Caenorhabditis elegans: one gene and its partner. The protein of the gene in region 1 interacts with the protein of each later gene in a pairwise test. Each region holds a gene or a part of one and is shown on either strand. Other genes may lie near its edges.

Evidence for each region.
Region 2: the proteins of axl-1 (region 1) and T07D4.2 interact in a two-hybrid assay, tested with the Caenorhabditis elegans proteins (one large-scale study listed by BioGRID).

Annotation. Positions count from the first base shown.
Region 1 is NC_003279.8:8,512,134-8,518,014, reverse strand, and holds axl-1 (Axin-like protein 1), read right to left. Parts: upstream 4,116-5,881; 5' UTR 4,097-4,115; coding exon 4,025-4,096; intron 3,891-4,024; coding exon 3,690-3,890; intron 2,795-3,689; exon of another isoform or gene 2,690-2,794; coding exon of another isoform or gene 2,624-2,689; intron 2,149-2,623; coding exon 2,029-2,148; intron 1,986-2,028; coding exon 1,936-1,985; intron 1,827-1,935; coding exon 1,701-1,826; intron 1,658-1,700; coding exon 1,493-1,657; intron 1,223-1,492; coding exon 1,146-1,222; intron 1,098-1,145; coding exon 1,013-1,097; intron 966-1,012; coding exon 810-965; intron 761-809; coding exon 610-760; 3' UTR 502-609; downstream 1-501. Other genes in the region: tnsl-1 (Tonsoku-like protein), read left to right, coding at 1-55, 106-245, 293-481; K02B12.2 (Myb_DNA-bind_3 domain-containing protein), read left to right, coding at 5,664-5,727, 5,781-5,881. UniProt on the Caenorhabditis elegans protein: Works in parallel with pry-1 in negatively regulating bar-1 signaling in vulval precursor cells and Q neuroblasts. Shown to have a role in excretory cell development.
Region 2 is NC_003280.10:8,869,012-8,875,728, forward strand, and holds T07D4.2 (UPF0046 protein T07D4.2), read right to left. Parts: upstream 4,932-6,717; 5' UTR 4,930-4,931; coding exon 4,889-4,929; intron 4,823-4,888; coding exon 4,795-4,822; intron 4,388-4,794; coding exon 4,297-4,387; intron 4,061-4,296; coding exon 3,936-4,060; intron 2,944-3,935; exon of another isoform or gene 2,937-2,943; coding exon of another isoform or gene 2,772-2,936; intron 2,260-2,771; coding exon 1,923-2,259; intron 1,868-1,922; coding exon 1,779-1,867; intron 1,736-1,778; coding exon 1,659-1,735; intron 1,455-1,658; coding exon 1,339-1,454; intron 1,294-1,338; coding exon 1,109-1,293; intron 977-1,108; coding exon 875-976; 3' UTR 538-874; downstream 1-537.

The sequences.
Region 1 (5,881 bases):
CGGTTGCTTGCGAATAATACTTCGATTGATACTATTATCCCATCAGTTTTTATAGGTTTGTATTCCATTAACTTTATCCAAAATACCAAAAAGCTCAATTTACAGGCATGTCTCATCTCAAGAAGTTGGATTTGAGCTTCAACTCCTCGTGGATTTCCGATCAGATCTGGATTCTGATATTGGGAGAATTGAAGAATTTAGAGGAACTTACCATAAATGAAACGAAAACAAAAGTGGAGTTTGAGGTGCATTCATGAAGATTTTTATAAAATGTTAACCTTTTCAATTTCAGTCTGATTGGCTTTCGCATTTGTGCTCATTTTCTGCTCGTGGATCAGATCTTCATTGGGATTCTGTATTTGAAACATTATCAGTTATGGAACGAATAACTCATGTAGATGTTAGTTATTCTACAGTCGACCCAAGTCTCCCACAAGAACTACACAGCGGATGTCCCAGAGCCCTTAATATTTTGTATTAGTATCTCACAATTATCTTATCAATTATCGTCAATACTGTTTATCACATTTTGCTGTAAAATGAAATGAATAACCGTACAATTAAAAGACAAAAACTGACGACAATATCTTTACATACGAATAATTAAAGTTAAATTAAATCATGATCTTCTGGAGGAGGACACATTCTACAAATTGCTGTAATTCTATTTTGAAACACGGGAAGAATGTCATCATCATGGAAGAGCAGAGTCCATTGATATTGAGCGGAACCATCTTCGCATGTTGATTTAAAGAAAAAGCTGAACAAACTTTTTTTTTGAAAACTTGGCGATATTAAAAATATTTTACCGGCAGTTATCAGTATAGTGAAGACCGAATAAATGTCTAAAATATCTTAAAGTGACGGATTGTGCATGATTTGCTGAAATCTTTGCCACCATCGGAACATCATTCTCGTATCGTAGTTCTACAGTCATTTTTGGAGCCTCTGAACCTCTTCTCTTTCTGAAAATATATATTATTTAACCGCCATTCTTGATGTGAAAGCTTACGGTTGTAATGTGGAAAACCCGTTGTTTGTTCCCGTAAATAATCGATTTGGTCTTTCAAGTGTTCCTTGATTGGATTTTCCATAACCTGAAATTAATTCTCGAATAAAATTCTTGAAAACTGGGAACTTCCTACGTTCAAAACTCCAAAAATCACTAGCATTGCTTCCGAATCCGCTGGAATCTGATGTGGCAACTTGTTGGCGTTTCTTTCTGAAATTTACTTCAATTTATCCGAAGAAAAAGTATTTAGACCGTGTGACAATTTTTTCTCGAACTCAATTTTTTCTAATATATTTTTAATGTAAAAAACTGTGGGCAATTGAGAACTATTTCCGAGTACTGTAGCTTCGAAGTTTCGGTCGTTTTGAGACCAGGCACCGTATTTTTTATGTTGAAAACCTGAACACAGTTTGGCAATTATTGTTTAAACATGAGCATTTGCCGAAAATCGGCAGATGGGTTCTTTGTCACAAGACTCACTTGTAAAGAGATTCAAAACGTTTCGGAAGATTTGAAACTTTCAATGTATTAGTCTGTGTGCTCCTCGGTGGCGGTGCAAATCCATCAGTCCCATATGGAGTTGAAGATTTTTCTTTTCGTGGCGATTCTGCGTGTTCTTCTGTTTCTGATGAGTTTTTTGTTTCTCTAAAACGATTTCTAAATATTCGAAATATCAAAAAGCACGTACTGTAAGGAATTAAGGCGTGTACAGACAGCATTGAAAAACGAAAATCGATCATCTTCCGACTCATGGGTTACTGTACTTTGACCTATTTCGTGGCGGGATGATTTATCGATTGCGTCTTCATTGAACCTGAAAATTTGTGTGACTTGAGAATCTTCTTTCAATTATTTTATTTAGTGGGGTGTCTACAAAACGGCTCTACTATCCGGTTCGCATATCTTAATTTATTTTTACTAACCATATTGTAGCACCTTTATTTGAAGAACTTGTTGATGACGCATCTTCCCACTGAAAATAAATTCGATAAATTTTAGAGTCAACCACAAGTTACAGTAGTATTAACATCGGCTGTTGTCGTTGAAAATTCAGTGTGCATTGACCGTAAATGTTGGAAAAGTGGTTGTTTGAGAGGATCAAATAAGTCTATGTACGGGGGTTTACCATCGAGAACCTGAAAAATGTTATGGTTTCACAATGACATTTGGATAAAAATGTTCTCATCAACTTCCAATAAAAAAGTTGTATTGATGAAAAGACATTATTCATGATGATATCCAGTTTTACTTTTCTTGAAATTTTATGATATGGATATAAGATTTTTCGAATAAAATAAATATGACAATTTTACAAATTTTCAACAAAAAAGGTAAGATATGAGTAACAGGTAATTCAGATCTACCGTTAGAAAAGGTACTGTAATATGTCGACTGATATATCTACGTCCATTTTTTTGAAAATTTAAATATTTTTAAAATGCCGGATCTGAAACTTTTAGGAAAATTTTAGGAAGGTGACCCTACGGCAATGCTCGAAAATAGTCGGAACTGTAAAATCTTTTAACGAGCGATTTTTCATAAAGCAGTATTTTAATAAATATGAAATTACTAGAAAAAGTATAAAAATTGAAACAATAATCAATTACTCACATCAATTGAACCTTCATCATTATAATGGGGTGTGAAATAATTCCACCGTCTCGACATTGTAGCCATGGAGGTAACAAAATCAAAAACTAATAAATATCTATTTGAAGAAATGAAGCACTTCTTCTCTTTGTGTTGACCAACACTTTCAAGCCTAATGACGTGTCAACCTGTGTTGATCTACACTAAGAATTTGTGTTAAGTGTCCTCACTGTGTCTTTTGTGTGTATGCACATGGTACTTGACAGGTATCCGAAGAAAAGAACTGCCAAACTGTTTCTCTTCTTTTTTATCACTTGAAAGAACAGAGAACACGCCCGAGAAATGTTCGGAGAGATGAAAAAATCCTGCGGTTCTACGGAAAAACGGCTGCCTAAATTTGAGTAAATATTCCAAAGTAAAGGTAAAGTATGGCAAGTGGGGTAGTTTTCAAAAAACTACTCCCGTGGTGCTAGAATGAATGATTATCATATCAAAACCTTCTTTGATTTTTTTAGGTTATGTTTTAGTTATTAGTATTTGAACATTGTAGAGATTTGAATCAGGTTTCTTAGGACAAGAAATCAAAAAACAATTTTATTCAAAACTCCGATCGAAAACTTTTGCGAAGTTTTTAAAGTAATTTTTGTAATTTTTTAATAATATTGAAAGCTTGTAAATGCAAAAAAAACGGAGAAAAAAATGTACAGTTTAGGAAACAAAATTAGCATCAAGGCTCAAAATCAGGAGAAAACGAAAAGTTGACCACATTTTTGTTCAAAAATTTCGATTTTGCTGGATTTGTTGATTTTGACCTAGAATATTCGCAGGGAAACAATTTATTGATTTTTCATAACTTCTGGACTCCAAAAATGTTGCCCACATCTGATTCGGACGTGCAGGAATGTTCAGAAGTTATCAAAAGTACAATTTTTGAAAATTTGACTGAAATTTTCGAAATATCAAAAATGGAGTTATTAAATTAAATATTTGGGCATGCTTGACTATCATATAAGTATTTTTTACAAATATTCCAACCGACGATATTTCAACTGACTAGACAAACATTAACAAGTATATTGATCATTACCTCATGTACCCGTGTGGAGATCTTAGTGCGTATTGAATCACCGATGACGTGGCATGTTCCAGTATTCAAACTGACGTATTTTCGATGAATATGCCTAGCCAATTTTAAAAGAGATAGAGATGGAGAACCAGTTTTCAGTTTGGATTCAAAATCCAAAATTGACGTGTACAGGGTTATCGAATCGGCGTTCCGCGATTCTTCCTAGAACATGATTTAATTATTTGGCAGGAAATTTAATTATATTTACATAGATTCATAAATTAAAAAAATTAATTTTCAGAACGTAATTACTGTATACAATACGATTTTTCCAAACGATACAACGATTACTCTACCTTTTGACACCATTTGGCAAATGCGGTATCATGAAGAACTCGATCAATGGAGAATTTCGATCGCATCGTCATTATTTCTTCGTTTCATACTGAAAGTTTTGTATTTTACCCATGTAAGATCATTTATCAACAAGAAAAACTTGGGTTAAAAATGATTAAATATTTGAAGTATGGGTGGAGATTGAGCAAATGCGCGAAAAAAACGTCGAAATGTTAGACGGAAAGAGATGAGATATTGTGTCAAACCGATCGAGAGCCCTACCGTCTTGGCAAATAAATTGACGATAGAGGGAGAGAATGAGTGTGGAGACAGGAAATGGAGAAATTTGTGTTCAAGTCTCGTAAAATAAGGGTTTAAAATGTTATAGCACGATTTAGAGTATATAGCTGAAAAGTCTATATAAAAAAAATTCTGCCAAAATGCAAGCTTTCTAGTAGAGTTCAATATTTGGAAGGATTTTCTAACTTTTTCAATTCGGGAATTGATGGTTATCACCTTGTTTATTCTAAAGTAGTCTTAAAACTGAAGTTATAAAAGCCGTGGGTTTCTTGTTTTGATTTGAAATTTCTTCACTTTATTAATTATTGAAAACTCGCTTTTTATCTCGAATGCGTCTATCGCGAGAAGTTGGCATATCAGTAAAAGTGGGGGCTACTTCCTTCGGAATTCTTACTGGAAAGAATGTCTTTCGTGACGTTAAACTGTCCGAAACACTTATTGTCACTATTTTCAATTTTTCTAAAACTAAGAGCACCGATTTCTGAAAGAAAACATGTAGTAAAATTCGATAAATATTGATGTATCAATTTTTAAATTGTTAAAATATAAAACCATGGAATGCATAGCGAATGTGGGCATATAGCAGTTTTGAAATTTCCATAATCAAGGAGTGTGTCGTTTCGCGCGAGAAGTTGACCTTCGATGGATTGACTCACTTACTTTTACATTCAGCCGACACAAATGAACTGACAGATGTGGGAACAGATGGGGATGGATGTACTCTTCAACAGTACACACATGATATAACTGAAATTGACGAATTTGATATTATGACAGTATATTACTCAATTCTTTGCATATAAAAATGTCTACTCTGACTAGAAAACCTTTTTTGGTGTCCAGAGAGTTTGGGATCGAATGATATACTTTCTGAAAACAATAGAAGTTTCGAATTGAAAGTAAAGTGTCTTTTGTGCATTTGGGGTGAACTCCGTAGTTTAGTATAATTTTGGAATTTCTATTATTGGGAAAAGTGTCGAAGGCGGGCAAGAGCACTGATGACCTTATAGGCCACCATTGAACTCTTCCGGAATGTTATCAACAACTGATATCGAACTACACTCATTTCCTGGATTCCATTATAATTATCTTTTCCCTTAAAATCTCTGCTCTCGAGAATGTTTTCGTGCACATGGTAGTCGACGGATTAGATAAGAGACATTGAAAGGGAGAGACTAATTATAGACAGGTGTATTGAGAGACTCTATGGTGGAAGAACGGACCTTCCTAAAGGTTTAGAGCAACAAATCGATCGGTTTTGAGCACCATTGCATGACACTCATAGATGTAGTCATTTGAATCTTTCTACATTCGATAGTTATCCAATTTTTTGAACAGTTCTGATTTTTCAACAAAAAAATGATTATGGCCGATGAATCTGTGGATCAAATGAGAATCGAGGAATTTCTAGTGATAGTTAATCGTAAGTTATTTTATTTTTCTTTACAAGATTCCCAATAAATATCCGTATTATAGATTACACTACTCATGTAAAGTCTACAACCGATCTAAGCAAATGCGGGAATTGCACATGGGTTCTTCCGAAATTGGATGCACTTCAGAAGAAAATGATCGAT
Region 2 (6,717 bases), on another chromosome or scaffold:
GAGTCATTTCTCATTTGTGATTCATTTCGGAAAAAATTGCCAAAGAATTTTCATTATTCCTAATGGATTGGTTCCTTTTTCTATTCTATCATATATTCTAGGTCAGAGATTAATTTCTACGTGCAACTGAATGTGGCGCTTGTTAGCTTTTGTGGTGATTTAAAACTAAAACCTATGTGTATTCTCAACTGACACGGTGGATACTGTCTGACGTAAGAAAAATATTGTATCTAAAAAATTACAGACTATATGAAACAACTCTGGGTGGAAATCATTCTGACTAGATTTCACCCTGTTTCAGATATTTCTGGTCTAGAAATAATGAATTTCAGTAAAATCGAAAAAAGTCTAATGTTGATGATATCTCTGAGAAAAGACATCGATGAATAACAAAAGAGATTTGTCTGTGTGGAGCAAGAAGCCGGCACTGCCGGAACCGCACCACACATGGCCAATATCTGATTTCAGAGGGCAAAAGAGGAGGTTGCAGCATAATTTGGTATTGAATTTCATAATGTTTGACTCGAAAGAGGCTCACAAATTGGAATGTTTTATTGCTGGTTAGCGGGAGCAATTTTGGTGAAAGAAGAAGAATTGGAAGACGAGAAGAAGCAGTTGCAGAAGCTGTCGCAGCAGAAGCACAATCAACCTTCTCTTGCTCTTTTTGTGGTGCTGTTGACTGCGCATCGAGTTCATAAAGACTCATTTCCGGATGGGATATTATTTTGTTCTTATGGGGTTGGAGGAGGGCTCAATGAGTGAGAAAAATAGATGATGATGGTCGTGGTGTGGAAAAAGAGCAAAAAAAATTAAAAAGTGGTGGTATAATTATAACTACAAAATGACACAGAGGTGACAGTGAGAGGAATTTAATTTATTTCTTCTTTTGGAATCTTTTATGAATTTTCTTCACATTTTGAATGTAGAATTGTTTGGTGTGAGGGTGCACTGGGATATCGAATATTACTGGCTCGTTCTGAAAATTTTTAACGATGAAATTGTCAAATTTAATAATCATGGATAGTCTAAATTTGTGTGCTGCTTGAATAAAGTCGTCCCAGAGTCATGCCCAATTTTTCTCAATAAGTCAAAATTCACGAATGATCACCTTTAAATCCAAATTTTCATTACACATGCAGCAGTTAATGAACTTTGTATATCCATCAGTTGTGCATCCGTAGCCCTCATGAATGTGTCCAAAAACGTGATACTTTGGTCGAACCCGCTTGAAAACTGTGTTCAACAACTCGGCACATCCCATTCTCTGTCCATTGTTCATCATATCGCCGTGTCCTGCACAAAATTTGTGTTTTACTATTTGTGGTACTTTGAACTTACCAAGTGGAGGTGTATGAGTTAAAAGCACGTCAACGCCCGCCGGGATCAGGTTCCATTTGTCCAATAGTTGTTGTCCACGAGAGAGATTGAATGCCCAATTGTCTACTTTTGGTTGCCTGCAATTTTTGAAATTGTGCTTTGATACAATGGGTTCAATATGGAACTCATAGAATTATGCTGTGAGAAAGAATATTCAATTCGAACTTATATTTTTTATTGATCTACAAAATATATAATGATAATACTTGTCGAAGGTGACAATTGTTTCAAATTTCGACTTGAATCTACCACAATTTTTTCAGAAAACTTGCAATCCTTACCATGGCGTTCCATAAATTGTGATTCCAAACAGTTCGATTACATTATCCTCCAAATAAATTGCATTTGATAACAAATCCTACAAAAAATTGTATACTTTCATAAATTGAAATCATGCTTACTTTCGCTGAAATTCCACCCTTTGAATCAGAATGAATTGCTGATAACAATGCTTGTTTCAGTGCCATTTCTTTTGGTTCAGACTCTTGTTCTGCAAATTTTGTTGTGGTGATTGATCGTTAATGGTTTATTGGAGTTGAACTTACTCAATTTCAAAAATGTGTCGTCAAATGTGCATTCGTGATTTCCACCTATCACCACTTTGTAAGAGTATTTCAGTTTTCCAAGTAACTTATTAAAATTGTGAACTTCATTTGGAAGACCGCATGATGTGAAGTCTCCAGCCACGAGGAGAACATCTCCAGGTGGGAGTTTTGATATATCAAATTGTTCTCCATGTGTACATCCAATACATACAAATCTCACATGATCTGGTTTTACTGGAGTATCAAGTCTCATCTGACGAACTGGTTTCACTGGTCTTTTTTCTTTCAGCATTTCCCATGCAAGTGTTGGATCTTCTGTGTATTGATGAAGAGATACCTGAAAATAAATGTATTGTTCTGAAGGAGAAGCTTGCGGAGCAATTAATTTCCCATTCATCTTGTTGTTAACGACATTAAACACATGGCTTGTGTGGCTGTTGTCAACCTTTGACCGGATATAACAATACAATTAAAATTTTCAAATTATTATACTGTGAAAATATAGCATTAAAAATAAACATTGCTATACATAGGGTTTAAAACACAAACTGGGCCAAACGGCATGCAAAAAACGTACCGGTCTTTTATGAATTTTAGTCTCTGAATACCAACTTTTTATAGAATCTTGAGATTTTCTGTGTATCCTTAGGAAATACATTGAAGTATTAGTGGTAGAACTAAATAAATCAGGAAATTGAGACTCAAGTTTTTTACTTCTTTTTTTCAATTTCTGTTCGTACTAATAACAAAATGGAAGCAATTTTTTGACAAATGTTGGCCCCCCATGTAATTTGTTGTTAACAAGCTTGAACTGACAACAGCTGGCGACTAAAGACTCTTTGAACTTACAGTTCTTAACTCTCGAACAAGTGATTCTCGTCGATTTGGAGATGTTCCACTTATAGGTCCACCAATCAGAGAAAGACGTCTCTGTCGGTTACGGTATTCATCTTTAATAGACTGATCCCCAAATATAGAAGTTGTTCCGAACCGATTGCTCGACTTGGAGAACATTTTCAGGCTGTGTGAACAATTGATAAGAAAGAAACAAATGAAGAAATAGAGCCGAAAAGATTGAATGGAGAAGTAAGATTCAAAAGATTTATGGCGAGTATCTGAAGTGTGTCAAAAACATTGACTGCACTCAAATGGTTTTCGATCTAACGATGAGGTCACGAGGTGACAGGAAATGGGATGGGAGGCCAAAAGTTGCAAACGAGACATCCGATATATGTATGTGCTGGTCACTTTTTGTTCCTTATCTTTTTGAAGGATACATCAAACTAAATGCAGAAGGATATTCAGTTACCCGTTCTTTTTCTGTTAATAGTTAGTTCTCTTTTCTTATTTTTTAAATATATGTATACTTGGGAAAGCAGTGGTTTTCGGCTGAAACTAGATTGGAAAGATTGGACGAATATGAAACTAACTGCCGGTCGCCTGGACAAGTTACCATAATACGAATGCTCTGCGAGTTTTTGAAATGTTTCAAAATACTGAAGGTTTGAGAGAAAGTCTGAAAGAATGGGAGCCGCGTTTTCTCATAATTTTTCACATTCAGAAAACTGTGAATAACCTCGAGCAACAATGGAAATCGAGCAAAATGTTTTCTTCAAAGGAAGAAAAATAAAAAATTACTGAGAAAATTTCGTAGTCAAAAAAATCCCCGAAAAGCAACTAAAAATTACGAAAAAAAAAGGTCGGTAACTCGGTAAAAATGAAACTGATAGGCTGGCACATCTCAGGGAAAGGTGAGAAAATGTTCGTCAGTGGATCATCTGATGAATAGTGAATCAAAGACGACCATCATCGGCTCTCAGATATCTTTTCTTTCTTTTTTTCGTTTAAATCAAAAAAGTAGAGACTCCAACGTCAGTTGGTATGCCGACTCAATATGAGATAGATTGTTTCTTCTTTTCATCAGATTGGTATCATGCTCGAACGCATTTATCATTTTATCTTTCATTTTGTTTTTCCAATTGTTGATGGGAGCTAACAACATAGAAAACCTACCGGATTTGACAGCTTCCGTCGGGTTTTTTTGTCCATTGGAATGCCAGATGCAATTGAACCGCGGCGACTTGGCGAAGCATTTCCGAGTTCAAAACTGTCGACGATTATTGAGCCGGAACTTCTTCCTGATAAAGATAGTTATGACAACTTAGAAATAGACGGAAGTATTCTTTTTTTTCTGAGAATCAATCTGAATTGTTCTCTGGTTTTTTTTATAAAGTTAATAACTTATTTTAAAAGAAGAACATTGAAGCTGCCATCGTGGTATTCACACGTTATTCAACCTTTACTACACATTTTGCTGTTTATTCTCATTTTTTACGAGAATCGGGAGAGAGGCAAAAAGAAATTATGAACTCACTTCTATCTCTGTTGAATCCAATCAATTCCTGATCTTCTATCATCGGCTGCAAATATGATGCAGCCCGGTTTCGCGAATGGAACATCATTTTCTGAAATAAATATATTATGTTAAAATATGAATGTTTTGAAGTGGAAGTATCATATAAATAGAGCAAATTATTATTTGTAGCTTCGAGGTTCGAGGACTACTACCAAAAATGTTAAGGAACTGAGACATAAATCTTTTACAAATACAGTTTTTAAACGGAATGGTGATACACTTTATCTATCAACTTCTGTTTGAGAATATAGCTCCATAAAATCAGGTTGTAGTGAAGAAAAAATCAGGACAAGTGACCAAAGCACGGGAATGGTTCTCAAAGGTACCCGCCAATGAAACCTTCCATCTTCTTCTTCCCTCCAGCATTTCCATCTTATCCATCTTAACCCCCTCCCCTTCTTCCTCTTTTTTCCATTTGATCAGAGTTCTATCCTTCTTCAATACCAATTGGCTCACCTCATCTTGTGGTACAGGAGCGGAGCTTCTGAAAACACAAAGATTGAAACATAAAACAAACAATGAGTGCAGCTACAAAAAATCATTGACGAACCTTCGATTGAGTGACACTTTGAGCAATGCAGGACTCAGCATTCCTGCAAAAATCTCGATGATTTTTTGGGTCGACAAGCAAGAAGAAACGACAACTTTTTGAGAAGTGACAAAGTGAAGTGAAGGATGACACGAAAGTTCGGGAATGTTCGGAATGAGATAAGATGTGTCTGGATCATGGAATTAGGTACTTAAACACGGACAAAGCAATTCAGCATTGAGTGCAGAATTTTCTTGAGCAAATGAGTAGTTTAATGAGATCAACTCTCATTTAAAGATGTGATTAAAAAGATCAAGGGTTTTTGTTGCAAAGAAGTGAGACATAGGATTCGTGACGTAGTTGAATATAGCTGTTGGCAATGACATAATTGGTAAAGTTTATACTAACAGAGCAAATAACATTTATCAAGATATTTAAAATACAGTAGACCGTGTTTTCTCAATAGAAACGCCACTCATACCTTGCACAAGTTTGGACCAGCTCTTGCTAATGTCGTATTGTTTTTCAAATCTTTATTGCGGTACAATGTATCTCGAGAGACGGCAAGGGTTGAGTGCCACCAGGTCACAAGCTGATAAGTGTGCAACTGAGAAAAAGTACAACATATGCCAAACGTATCACATAAATCACATAGAAATTATCTACTCACATGTTCTATTATGAGAAAATTAATGCAGTGGAATAGGAAAATATAAGTAAACTCTAAACTGTAGAAATAAAGTTTCTGAACACTTGGAAAAGGTTAAAAATTGGAGCCTAGTTTTTATTGAGATTTCATCCAAACTGTAGCGATTCAGAATATATTTTTGTATTGCCCTAGTATAAGTAAAGACTAATTACAAAAACTACTATAAGTATTTACAAATAGATACTGTTACGAAGGTCCAGTAGCCAATAATCTACCTCTAAACTCATTCAGAAGTTCTAATTGTTTTATTTTTAGTCATTCAATTGATCTTTCCATCATTATCTTATTAACTATTTCCATTTCTATTTCAAGTTATATGTAGTGATATGCGAATTATAAGTGAACAAATTCAAGCTAAAATTCTGAAAAAATATAATGCGAAACTAACGTAATACTAGTATCATAGAAATAAGAAAGCAAAGCTGAAAACATTGCAAAGAGTAAAGTGACTGGTTCTTCTTCTGCTTCTGTTTTTTGAACAGCTCATCAGGTGTTGATTTACTCACCACCAGTAGCAACCACTTTGTGCACACAATGGCTCCACCTTCATACCTTCCTCCCCCACCTCATCGTTCTCAGTCTCACCACAAAGACTTGTCATAACTCATCAATAAACTTTTTTAACACCCCACAACGGGTCACAATAAGGGATCAAAGTTGAGCCGAAGAGTCGACTGAAAGAGAAGAGTCTGGTGGAAAGAGATAATAATGATGAGTGGTGCACAAAAAACAGGGAAGATCTGATGAAGAAGGTCGATGTATTACGAGTGATGGATTAGGATTTGATGAGGGCGGATCGAGTTGTACTCTCAATTAATTTGTCGACATCAATCAATTTGAAATCTTGAACTTGATTGAATTGGTGGAGCTGGGAGATATTATTGAAGGGTACTTATGGTAAAAATTCAAAGATCCTTGACTAGTTTGTAGGTCACAAGATGCAATAGTACACAGGAACCGAGTTGTTTGGATGTGTTCTTGACAAAACTAGTGAACTTTATATTTAGGATTTAATGAAATAATATATTTAAAGTGCGTCAAAGCCAGAAATATTTGGAAAGCTGGTAAAGCTGAGCCAATTATGAATTTCAGATAAAAGGGATAGCATTTAGGGGAAACTTCATGAAAGCTGTTAAAACAA